Linked DNA regions of Macaca fascicularis. The protein of the gene in region 1 binds, or shares a complex with, the protein of each later gene. Links are inferred from orthologs where the notes say so. Each region holds a gene or a part of one and is shown in the gene's direction. Other genes may lie near its edges. The genes, in order: SMARCC2 and ACTL6B.

What was found.
Region 2: SMARCC2 (region 1) and ACTL6B share a complex: the UniProt entries of both Homo sapiens proteins name them as parts of the BAF complex. The link is inferred for Macaca fascicularis from reciprocal best matches to the Homo sapiens genes SMARCC2 and ACTL6B.

Annotation. Positions count from the first base shown.
Region 1 is NC_088385.1:62,975,130-62,979,658, reverse strand, and holds the start of SMARCC2 (SWI/SNF complex subunit SMARCC2), read left to right. Parts: upstream 1-1,575; 5' UTR 1,576-1,600; coding exon 1,601-1,711; intron 1,712-3,738; coding exon 3,739-3,858; intron 3,859-4,529. UniProt on the Homo sapiens protein: Involved in transcriptional activation and repression of select genes by chromatin remodeling (alteration of DNA-nucleosome topology).
Region 2 is NC_088377.1:49,244,120-49,248,468, reverse strand, and holds the start of ACTL6B (actin-like protein 6B), read left to right. Parts: upstream 1-1,414; 5' UTR 1,415-1,496; coding exon 1,497-1,521; intron 1,522-1,951; coding exon 1,952-2,028; intron 2,029-2,060; exon of another isoform or gene 2,061-2,243; coding exon 2,244-2,409; intron 2,410-2,709; coding exon 2,710-2,810; intron 2,811-4,349. UniProt on the Homo sapiens protein: Involved in transcriptional activation and repression of select genes by chromatin remodeling (alteration of DNA-nucleosome topology).

The DNA of each region.
Region 1 (4,529 bases):
ATATTGCAAAACAGCCACTCACATTCCCAGACAAAATGTAACCCTTCAACCAAATCCTTCCCTATGCCCTCAAAAGAATGAGACATGTGCCAAAGCTCTCCCAGCAAGCCTGAAGTTATAAAATTCTGAAAATGCCTCACAGTCTAGCAGCCAACACAGTCGTACATAATTAAGCTTCCCAAGATCATTCCCATTCTCCCAAATACAGGGGTAAGACCTGTTGGCGGCTTCCTTTTGGAGAGAGAAAGTGCACGAAAGACACTTGTGAGAACTGGGGTTACCTTTACGTGTTGTGAAGTGGGATTTAAAAAGTCGCCGTCAGGCCGGGCGCGGTGCTCACGCCTGTAATCCCAGCACTTTGGGAGGCCGAGGCTGGCAGATAACCTGAAGTCGGGAGTTTGAGACCAGCCTAGCCAATACGGTGAACCCGTCTCTACTAAAAACGCAAAAAGTGTGGTGGCGCATGCCTGTGGTCCCAGCTACTCGGGAGGCTAAGGCAGGAGAATTGCTTGAACCCGGGAAGTGGAGGCTGCGGTGAGCCGAAATCGCGCCACTGCACTCCAGCCTGAGCAACAGAGCGAGACTCCGTCTTAATAATAAGAAAGAAAGAAAAAAAAAAAGCCGTCACGAACAGGATTCGAACCTGTGCGGGGAAACCCCATTGGATTTCGAGTCCAACGCCTTAACCACTCGGCCACCGTGACTTCCAAAACCGCATTTTGCCGCGCGCTTACAGAAGGGGTCCGCACTGCAATCGGGGACTACATGCGGGAACCGGAAGCAGGGTACCGGCCTCGACGCGCACTCACCTGAGGACTCCCCACCCCTTGGTTCCTTACCTCCTATCTACGCCACCCAGAGAAAAAGAGTCGGATGGACCGGGTGACCCAGGGAAGGAGGGTCTCCTGCCTAGCGAAGAGTCGGAGTCTCAAGGAGCTCACACCTACTTAGGAGGCGACAGCGAGGCCAGCGGAGGAAGCAGTTGAGGAAGGCACTGGGTCCCCAAGGTGGCGGCTAGGGGACTTTTGGGTTAACAAGTGAAGGGGTTGCTGGGTGGACAAGCGCGAGGGGTGAGGGAGACTCAGAAAAGTTTAAATGGGGAGATGCTGGGAATGGATGGAAGGAAGGAACTTCTTGGGGAAAGGGTTTTGGGGTTTTGGGGGACGAGGGGCTCCGTCGGATTAGGAATGCGCAAGGTGAGGGCCACTCGGGGCAACGGGTTGGGGCTGCTCCAGCGACTGGCGGCCGCCTGGAGTGGGATAGCGAGGTGACACTAACGGGCTGAGGCAAAAAGAGGGAAGGGCTTCGCGTCTGGTAAGAGGGATCTCAGGAGAATGGCGCCCCCTCCAGGAAGAGTCCTTCTCCCCGGAGGCTCCCGCCGCCGCTGCCGGGTAGGCCACCAGGGTCGGCCTGCGCCTGGAGCTCCTCCGCCGCGCCCGGCCTGCCGGCAGGGGGCGCAGCGCGGACCGGGGCCGGCCCAGGCGGCGGGAGGCGGCGGCCGCGGCGGCGGGAGGCGGCGGGAGGCGGGCGGAGGAGGAGGCGGAGGAGGCGGGAGCTGAGCTGAGTGGGGCGGGCGGCGGCGGGGCCCGAGCCCGAGAAGATGGCGGTGCGGAAGAAGGACGGCGGCCCCAACGTGAAGTACTACGAGGCCGCGGACACCGTGACCCAGTTCGACAACGTGCGGCTGTGGCTCGGCAAGAACTACAAGAAGGTACGCGGGCCGGGCCGGGCCGCGCGGGGACCGGGGGCGGGACAAAGGGACCGCGGCCCTGCAGCTCCGGGATCCTGCCCACCCTCCAGGCGCCCCAGCCCCTCCCCTGCGGCCTTCGGAGCAGCCCCCCGCGCGCCCTCCCGCGCGCCCGCGCCCCTCCCCCAGCCTCCCTCTCCCCGCACCCCTAGCCTCCGAGCCTAGCCCCCGCCCCCACTGCTGCGCCCTCTGCCCCTTGTTTTTCTCTACTGCCCGGCAGGCCCCGGTGCCATTAGCCCACCTTCCCCTCAGCCATCGCCCTCCTGGCTCTTCTGGGAGAGGCGGCCGGCCGGGTGTGGACCGGGTGCCCAATGGGTTCCCCCGCAACCCGGAACGTGCCCGCCAGAGCTCCCCATGGAGCCGGGTACCGGTGGGGCTGAGGCCTCCCCGGTGCTTTGTGTATGTTCAGAGAGAGGATGGAAAGCAGGAGGGTAAACAGTCACAGAGCAAGCCGTTGGCTGCTCATCAGCTTGAAAAAGGTCCCCACCCAGGGATCACCTGTCTCCGCCGCTCATCCCCCACCTTCATCTAAGAGGCAACAGAATCTCTCAGGGAGCTGGGGTATAGGAGTTCCTGGGTAGCGACCCCTTCCAAAACCTTTCCTCGATTTTGCAGTGAAGTCACCCTGCAACCTAGCTTTGCAGTACCGTGGGTTTGGGGTCAAGAGGTTAGGGTGAGCGTTCTATCTCTAGCCCCTCACCCCTAAACCCCATAACTGGCGATCATAAGGTAGTGAACAAAGGGTTTAAGAATCCTTACCTGTCTTTTCTACTAGACCTCTTCGTGGTGTCGTCTTTGTCTCTAGGCCTGGTTTTCCCTGGAAATAGTCTGCCTCTCTTTTTCTCACTACCCTCAGAGAGGGGTTCTCTTTGTGGCTTTCTTTCAGCTCCCCATTTCTTCCTGCCGGCTTTGCAGCTCGTCAGAAGTGTGCTTAGTGGCTTAGGAGAACTTCCTACTGATCCTGATTATGAGCCTGGCCCTGCCCTTGGGGTCTCTCTGGGTGTCAGAATCTTGACAAATAGCTGCTATTTCTATGGCTTGTTTCTATGCCTGTGAGAGGCTCTTGCTTTGACCTTTTGCAGGGAGATCAAGCTAGGGGCTGAGCCTCCGGCCTTGGTGGGGATTGACAACTGTGACCTGGTTCAGCTTCCGTGCTCTTAGCTCTTTGTCATTTACCTTTCCCTTCACAGATCTATCTCTCTTCACCTCTCACTGAGAGGCGCTGTCTTCTTTGTGATGAGGGGGGAGAAAACGGGTCAAAAGGTAAAAAGAAAGTCTCCTGGCTCAGGTTCAAATTATAATGGAAGGCTAGGATGCTACTAGGTAGCGAAGTGTGGAAATATTGAGGTAGAGCCAGGGTTACTTGTCTCGGATACAGTTTCCTCAGACAGGGTAGATGTTTTCTTGCTCTTCTCCATCAGGCTGGTGAGGCCCTTCCTGTCTAGGAGGGCTTATGAAGACCTTTATACCCAGTCTTCAGGAGCAAAATGCACAGGCTCACTCTCAGTCAGCTTGCCCTCCTTCACTTCCTTGTACCTTTTCTTGTTAGGCTACATTATAGGGGGAATCATGGCTTTACACAGAGTTCCCCTAAGAAATGTCTCTCTTAGAGCTCCAAAGGTATTGCTTCCATGATCTGAACTCTATAAACCTCCAGAATTTTAACAACCCTCAGTGCTGTTGGTTGAGGATGAGGTGCCAAGATAATAGGGTCCTGCAACTCTAATTTCAGAGTGTAGCTGAGGAAGAGTAGTAAGCTTCCCTGTTCTCCCCAACACTGGCCATCTGGGCTGGTGACAGCAGAATTTCAGCTTCCTGGTTGGGATGTCCAGAGCCTCCCTTTTGCCATTTTCTTTATAGAGACTAAATAGGGAGAAAGGCACTGTTTTCTTTGCTCCAGATACTTCCAGAGCCCCTGGGGGAGAAATGTGGAAGATAGTGGACAATTTATCTGAGATCTATTTTTCTTTCCTTTCCCTCTTTTCCGTTAGTATATACAAGCTGAACCACCCACCAACAAGTCCCTGTCTAGCCTGGTTGTACAGTTACTACAATTTCAGGAAGAAGTTTTTGGCAAACATGTCAGCAATGCACCGCTCACTAAACTGCCGGTGAGTGCAGAAGTAGGAGAGAGGGCGGGGGGTGGTGGTGGTGAGTCCACCAAACTGGAGAGTTGTATTTTAAAAAAAGATTTGTGAATTTTGTAATTTTTGAAATTTGGGTTATTTTCTACCATCCCTATCCCTGGTCAGGGCATTATTGGCTTGGCCTAGTCTCCAGTTTACCATTCTTTTTGTCTTAGTAATACTTTGTGCAACAAATTATTTCAGAGTGCCTGGGATCAGTCCACAAGTCTCTCATGGCATGGTTAAAAGCGGACTTGAGATTTGGATTTGTGTGGGCTTGTGTTCAAATCCTGGCTTTGCTACTTGATGGCTGTGTGATCTTGGGCAGCATTCATGAGTCTTGGTTCCTTCATCTCTAGATGGGATTAGTAAACCTACCTTGTAGGGTTTCTATAATGGCACCTGAGATAATCCAGTAAAGTGTTAGCACAAGGTGGTGCTTTCTGTATATTGGTTTCTTTCACTCCCCTCTTGCAGGCCACATGATGCAATGGCACAAGGGTTAAAGAATTTCAGCTTTGAGCTGGGTACGGTGGCTCACGCCTGTAATCCCAGCACTTTGGGAGGCCGAGGTGGGCGGATCACCTGAGGTCTGGAGTTGGAGACCAGCCTGACCAACATGGAGAAACCCCCCCTGTCTCTACTAAAAATACAAA
Region 2 (4,349 bases), on another chromosome or scaffold:
CTCCTTTGCCTTTGCTACCAAAACTGTGGTGCCAGGAGCCCAGAAGAACCTGGGATCCAAGTAGTAGAAAACCCTGTTGTTAGTCCGGTGCTGCAGCTGACACCTGTAATCCCAATGACTCAGGAAGCCAAGGTGGGAGGATCGCTTGAGGTCAGGAGTTAGAGACCAGACTGGGCAACATAGTGAGGGCCCTTCTCTAAAACAAGCAAACAAACAAAAAAAACCAGGTGTGGTGGTGTGCACCTGTAAGTCCCAGCTACTCAGAAGGCTGAGGCGAGAGGATCACTTGAACCCAGGAGTTCAAAGTTACGGTGACCTGTGAGCGTGCCACTGCACTCTAACCTGGGTGACGGAAGACCCCAATTCAAAAATAAAAGAAACAAAAACCCTCTTGTTGATAAATGCCTCCTTAGGAAAATAGGCGCTGAAGAGAGAGAGAGATGGAGAAAAGAAGCTAAAGCCAGGTGGGCTGTGTGTGAACGTATGTATATGTGCGTAAGCATGTGTACACATGTATAACGCCCAGGTACTGGGGTGGTGGGGGTAGGGGTGGAGCAAAGCAAGGAAAAGAGGGGCCAGCGAAAGACAAAGGAGGGAAGTTGGACACGGTGGCTCATGCTTTTAATCCCAGCACTTTGGGACATTGAGGCCAGGAGTTCAAGACCAGCCAGTCTCTAAAAAAAAAACAACAAACAAAGAAAAAAACAGAGAGAGATGGAGACACACCCCCACCCCCTCTGGTCCCTCTCTTAATCTTCCCTTCCCTCCCTCTCCCGGCAATTCCATTTAGGCCTGGGTGTGGCAGAACCGGGCTCAGAGCAGCCTGAAGACAGATGACCCTTCTGGGGAGTGGAGCTCTCTCCCCAGTCTTGCTTTAAAAAGTAAGGGGGTAGAGGTCGGGCATAGCACTTTGAGAGGCTGAGGTGGGAGGATCGCTTGAGGCCAGGAGTTCAAGATCAACCTGAGCAAGACCCTGTCTCCATAAAAAAAATTTTTTTAATTTGCCAGGTGTGCTGGCACCTGCCTGTAATCCCTGCTATCTGGGAGGCTGAGGAGGATCGCTTGAGCTCTGGAGTTCGAGACCAGCCTGGGCAACGTAAGAAGACCTCCGTTTCCACCAAAAAATTTAATAAAAACAAAAAGCAAGGGGGTAGGGACCTCATCAGTCGTCCTGCAGAGTCTTGGTCTCCGCCTCTGCCCTGCTCTCCTCTCTGCCGCCCGTTCCTTAGCGACGGTCTCTAAGTCCCTGCTAGGCGCCCCCTGCCCCATCTCCTCCTGGTCGCCTAACGGAGGGTATCTTCCCCTTTAAATCCGCGGCCCCCGGTCCGGTCATTGTCTCGCCTGGCAGCCAATCGGCGGCGCCGTTGGGGGCGGGGGATCCGGCCTCCCAATTGGTCGCCGCGCGCCCCGCCCCGCCAGGGATCCCGGGAGCTGTCCGGCCGCCTCGGTGCTGATCCCGCCGCCGCCCACGGGCCGCTAGCAGCGCAGAGGGCACTATGAGCGGGGGCGTCTACGGCGGAGGTGAGCGAGCCTCCGGCCCCCTGCGTTCCGAACCCGCGCCATCCATCCGAGCTCTGGGCACCCCGGGGCCTGTCACCTCCGCGCATGAACTGGTCCAGTCTCAGGCTCGGGTTCCCGCCTCCCCTGCGCTCCGTTCTCGTGCGCACCGGGCCGAACCTCTCTACCTTACAACCCACCTCCACCTGGCCCCGGCCCCTTCCTTTCCCGTCGGGAGGGTGGCCTGAGCAAGGCCAGTGGGCAAGAAGGGACCCTGGCGGTATGATGCCCCCACCCCCAGTCCCAGGACCTCAGACTCCAGGCCCAGTTCCCACCGGCTCCAGACTGGTGTTGAAGGTGGCGAGTCTGTGGCTCTGCCCTGACTTTCTCTCGGAACTACCTAGCGGGAAAAACTTCGGGGGAGGTCCCCTTACAGGCCTGTCTCCCCTCACAGATGAGGTGGGGGCGCTGGTCTTTGACATTGGCTCCTTCTCAGTCCGCGCTGGGTACGCTGGGGAGGACTGTCCCAAGGTGAGCCTTCCAGTCTCCTCTCTAAATCCTAGGGGCTCCGGACCCTTCTTCAGGCTTTCCAGTGACCCAGGGCTCTCCCAGATCGCCCAGAAGCTCTGCTGAGCGGGAATGTGGGAATAAACCCAGGGGCGGGCTGAGGACCCTGCCGTGGGGCTGGACAGGGGCAAGAGGGTGACCCCTCTCCTGCCGATCCTCCCCCAACCCTTCCCCACCAGGCTGATTTCCCCACCACGGTGGGGCTGCTGGCCGCGGAGGAGGGGGGCGGGCTGGAGCTGGAGGGGGACAAAGAGAAGAAAGGGAAGATCTTCCACATCGACACCAATGCCCTGCACGTGCCTCGGGATGGAGCGGAGGTCATGTCGCCCCTCAAGAATGGCATGAGTAAGGGGCCCCCACCCATCACCTCCTGACAGATAGGGAGCCCACTCCCCACGCTGGGACATAGCAGCCCCCACTCCCCAAGGAGTCTTCCTTGCAGCCCCAGGGTTCTTCTCGCTGCCAGGGTTCTTCTCGCTGGGTTCCCTTCCCAGGGGCCCAGCAGGTTTCTGGGAAGGGGGGATGTTCCCCTGGGCCTGGACTCACTGACCCTCCTTTGGGCTTGGCCTTTCTCCCTCCTTTTCTTCCTGTCCCTGACCCCTGCCTGCCCTCTTGCCTTTCTCCACTCTGTTCTTCTGGCCCCAGTCGAGGACTGGGAGTGCTTCCGAGCCATCCTGGATCATACCTACAGCAAACACGTCAAGTCTGAGCCAAACTTGCACCCCGTGCTCATGTCCGAGGCCCCGGTGAGTGCCTCCTGCCTTCCCATGTCCAACCCCAATCTCCACTGCACCTGCTTCCCACCATCCACCTCTCCTCCTCTCCCCTCAAGCCACCGATGTCAGCCACTTCCCTTCCCTTTTCAGACTCCCCTCACCCATCCCAACCACTTTCCTTCCTTCCTAAGTCTCCATCCCTCCTGCTCTCTTCTTGTTCTATCTACTCTGCTGCCCTTCTCCATCTCCAAGTCCTTTTTAAATTTTTTTTTTTTTTGACACAGAGTCTCACTCTGTCACCCAGGCTGGAGTGCAATGGTGAGATCTCAGCCTCTGCCTCCCGAGTTCAAGGGATTCTCCTGCCTCAGCCTCCCGAGTAGCTAGGATTACAGGCACCTGCCATCATGCCTGGCTAACTTTTTGTATTTTTAGTAGAAATGGGGTTTTGCCATGTTGGCCAGGCTGGTCTCGAACTCCTGACCTCAGGTGATCCACCCGCCTTGGTCTCCCAAAGTGTTGGGATTACAGGCATGAGCCACCATGCCCAGCCTCCAAGTACTTTTTAGACCTTTTAACTTATTATTATTTTGGTCAACATTGGTGAGCTGGGGATGTGGGCTCACACCTGTAATCCCAGCACTTTGGGAAGCCAAGGCGAGAGGATCACTTGAGCCCAGGAGTTCGAGACCACCCTGGGCAATATGGCAAGACCCATCTCTTTTATCAAAACAATAACAATTAAAAAAATTTTTAAACTGCATTTTTAAAAATGTTCTTACCCATATCCTTATAGATTCCTCTTTATAGAAGCAACTGTTTTTCTCCTTTTTAGCTAATTTTGGGGGTATTTTCTTCCATATCTCTAATATTACACTTAAATTGCTGCCTGTGGAGTTTTTAGTTTTAGATATTATCAATGAATTTTCCACTCTAGAAAATGATCACTTAGCTCTTTTTTCCTCCCCAGCCTATGCCACAACATATTTCTATTACCCTCCTTTAAGTACAGTGGGTTTTGTTGTTGTTGTTTTTGTTGTTGTTGTTTGTTATTTGTTTTTGAGATTTTGTCTCAAAAACAGGGGCTCCGCTCAGTTTATCACCCAAGTTGGATTGCAGTGGCACAATTCTGCAGCCTTGGTCTCCTGGGCTCAAGTGATCCTCTCATTTCAGCCTCCGGAGTAGCTGGAACTACAGGCATGAGCCACCACGCCCAGCTGATTTTTAAATTTTTTGTAGAGACAGGGTTTCACCATGTTTTCCAGGCTGGTCTTGAATTCCTGGGCTCAAGCGATCCGCCCACGTCGTCCACCCAAAATGCTGGGATTACAGGTGGGATCCACTGCACCCAGCCCAGTTGTGTTTTAGACTTTGAAAGAAATCAATATTCAGTATTTACACTCTTTTTAAGTTAGAAATAATTTTAAGAGAATCTTTTGTAGAGATGGGGTCTCATTATATTGCCCAGGCTGGCTTCAAACTCCCGTGCTTAAGCGATCCTTCTACCTCAGCTTACAAAGTGCTGGGATTACAGGCATGAGTCACTGTGCCCAGCCCAAGATTTACATTTTT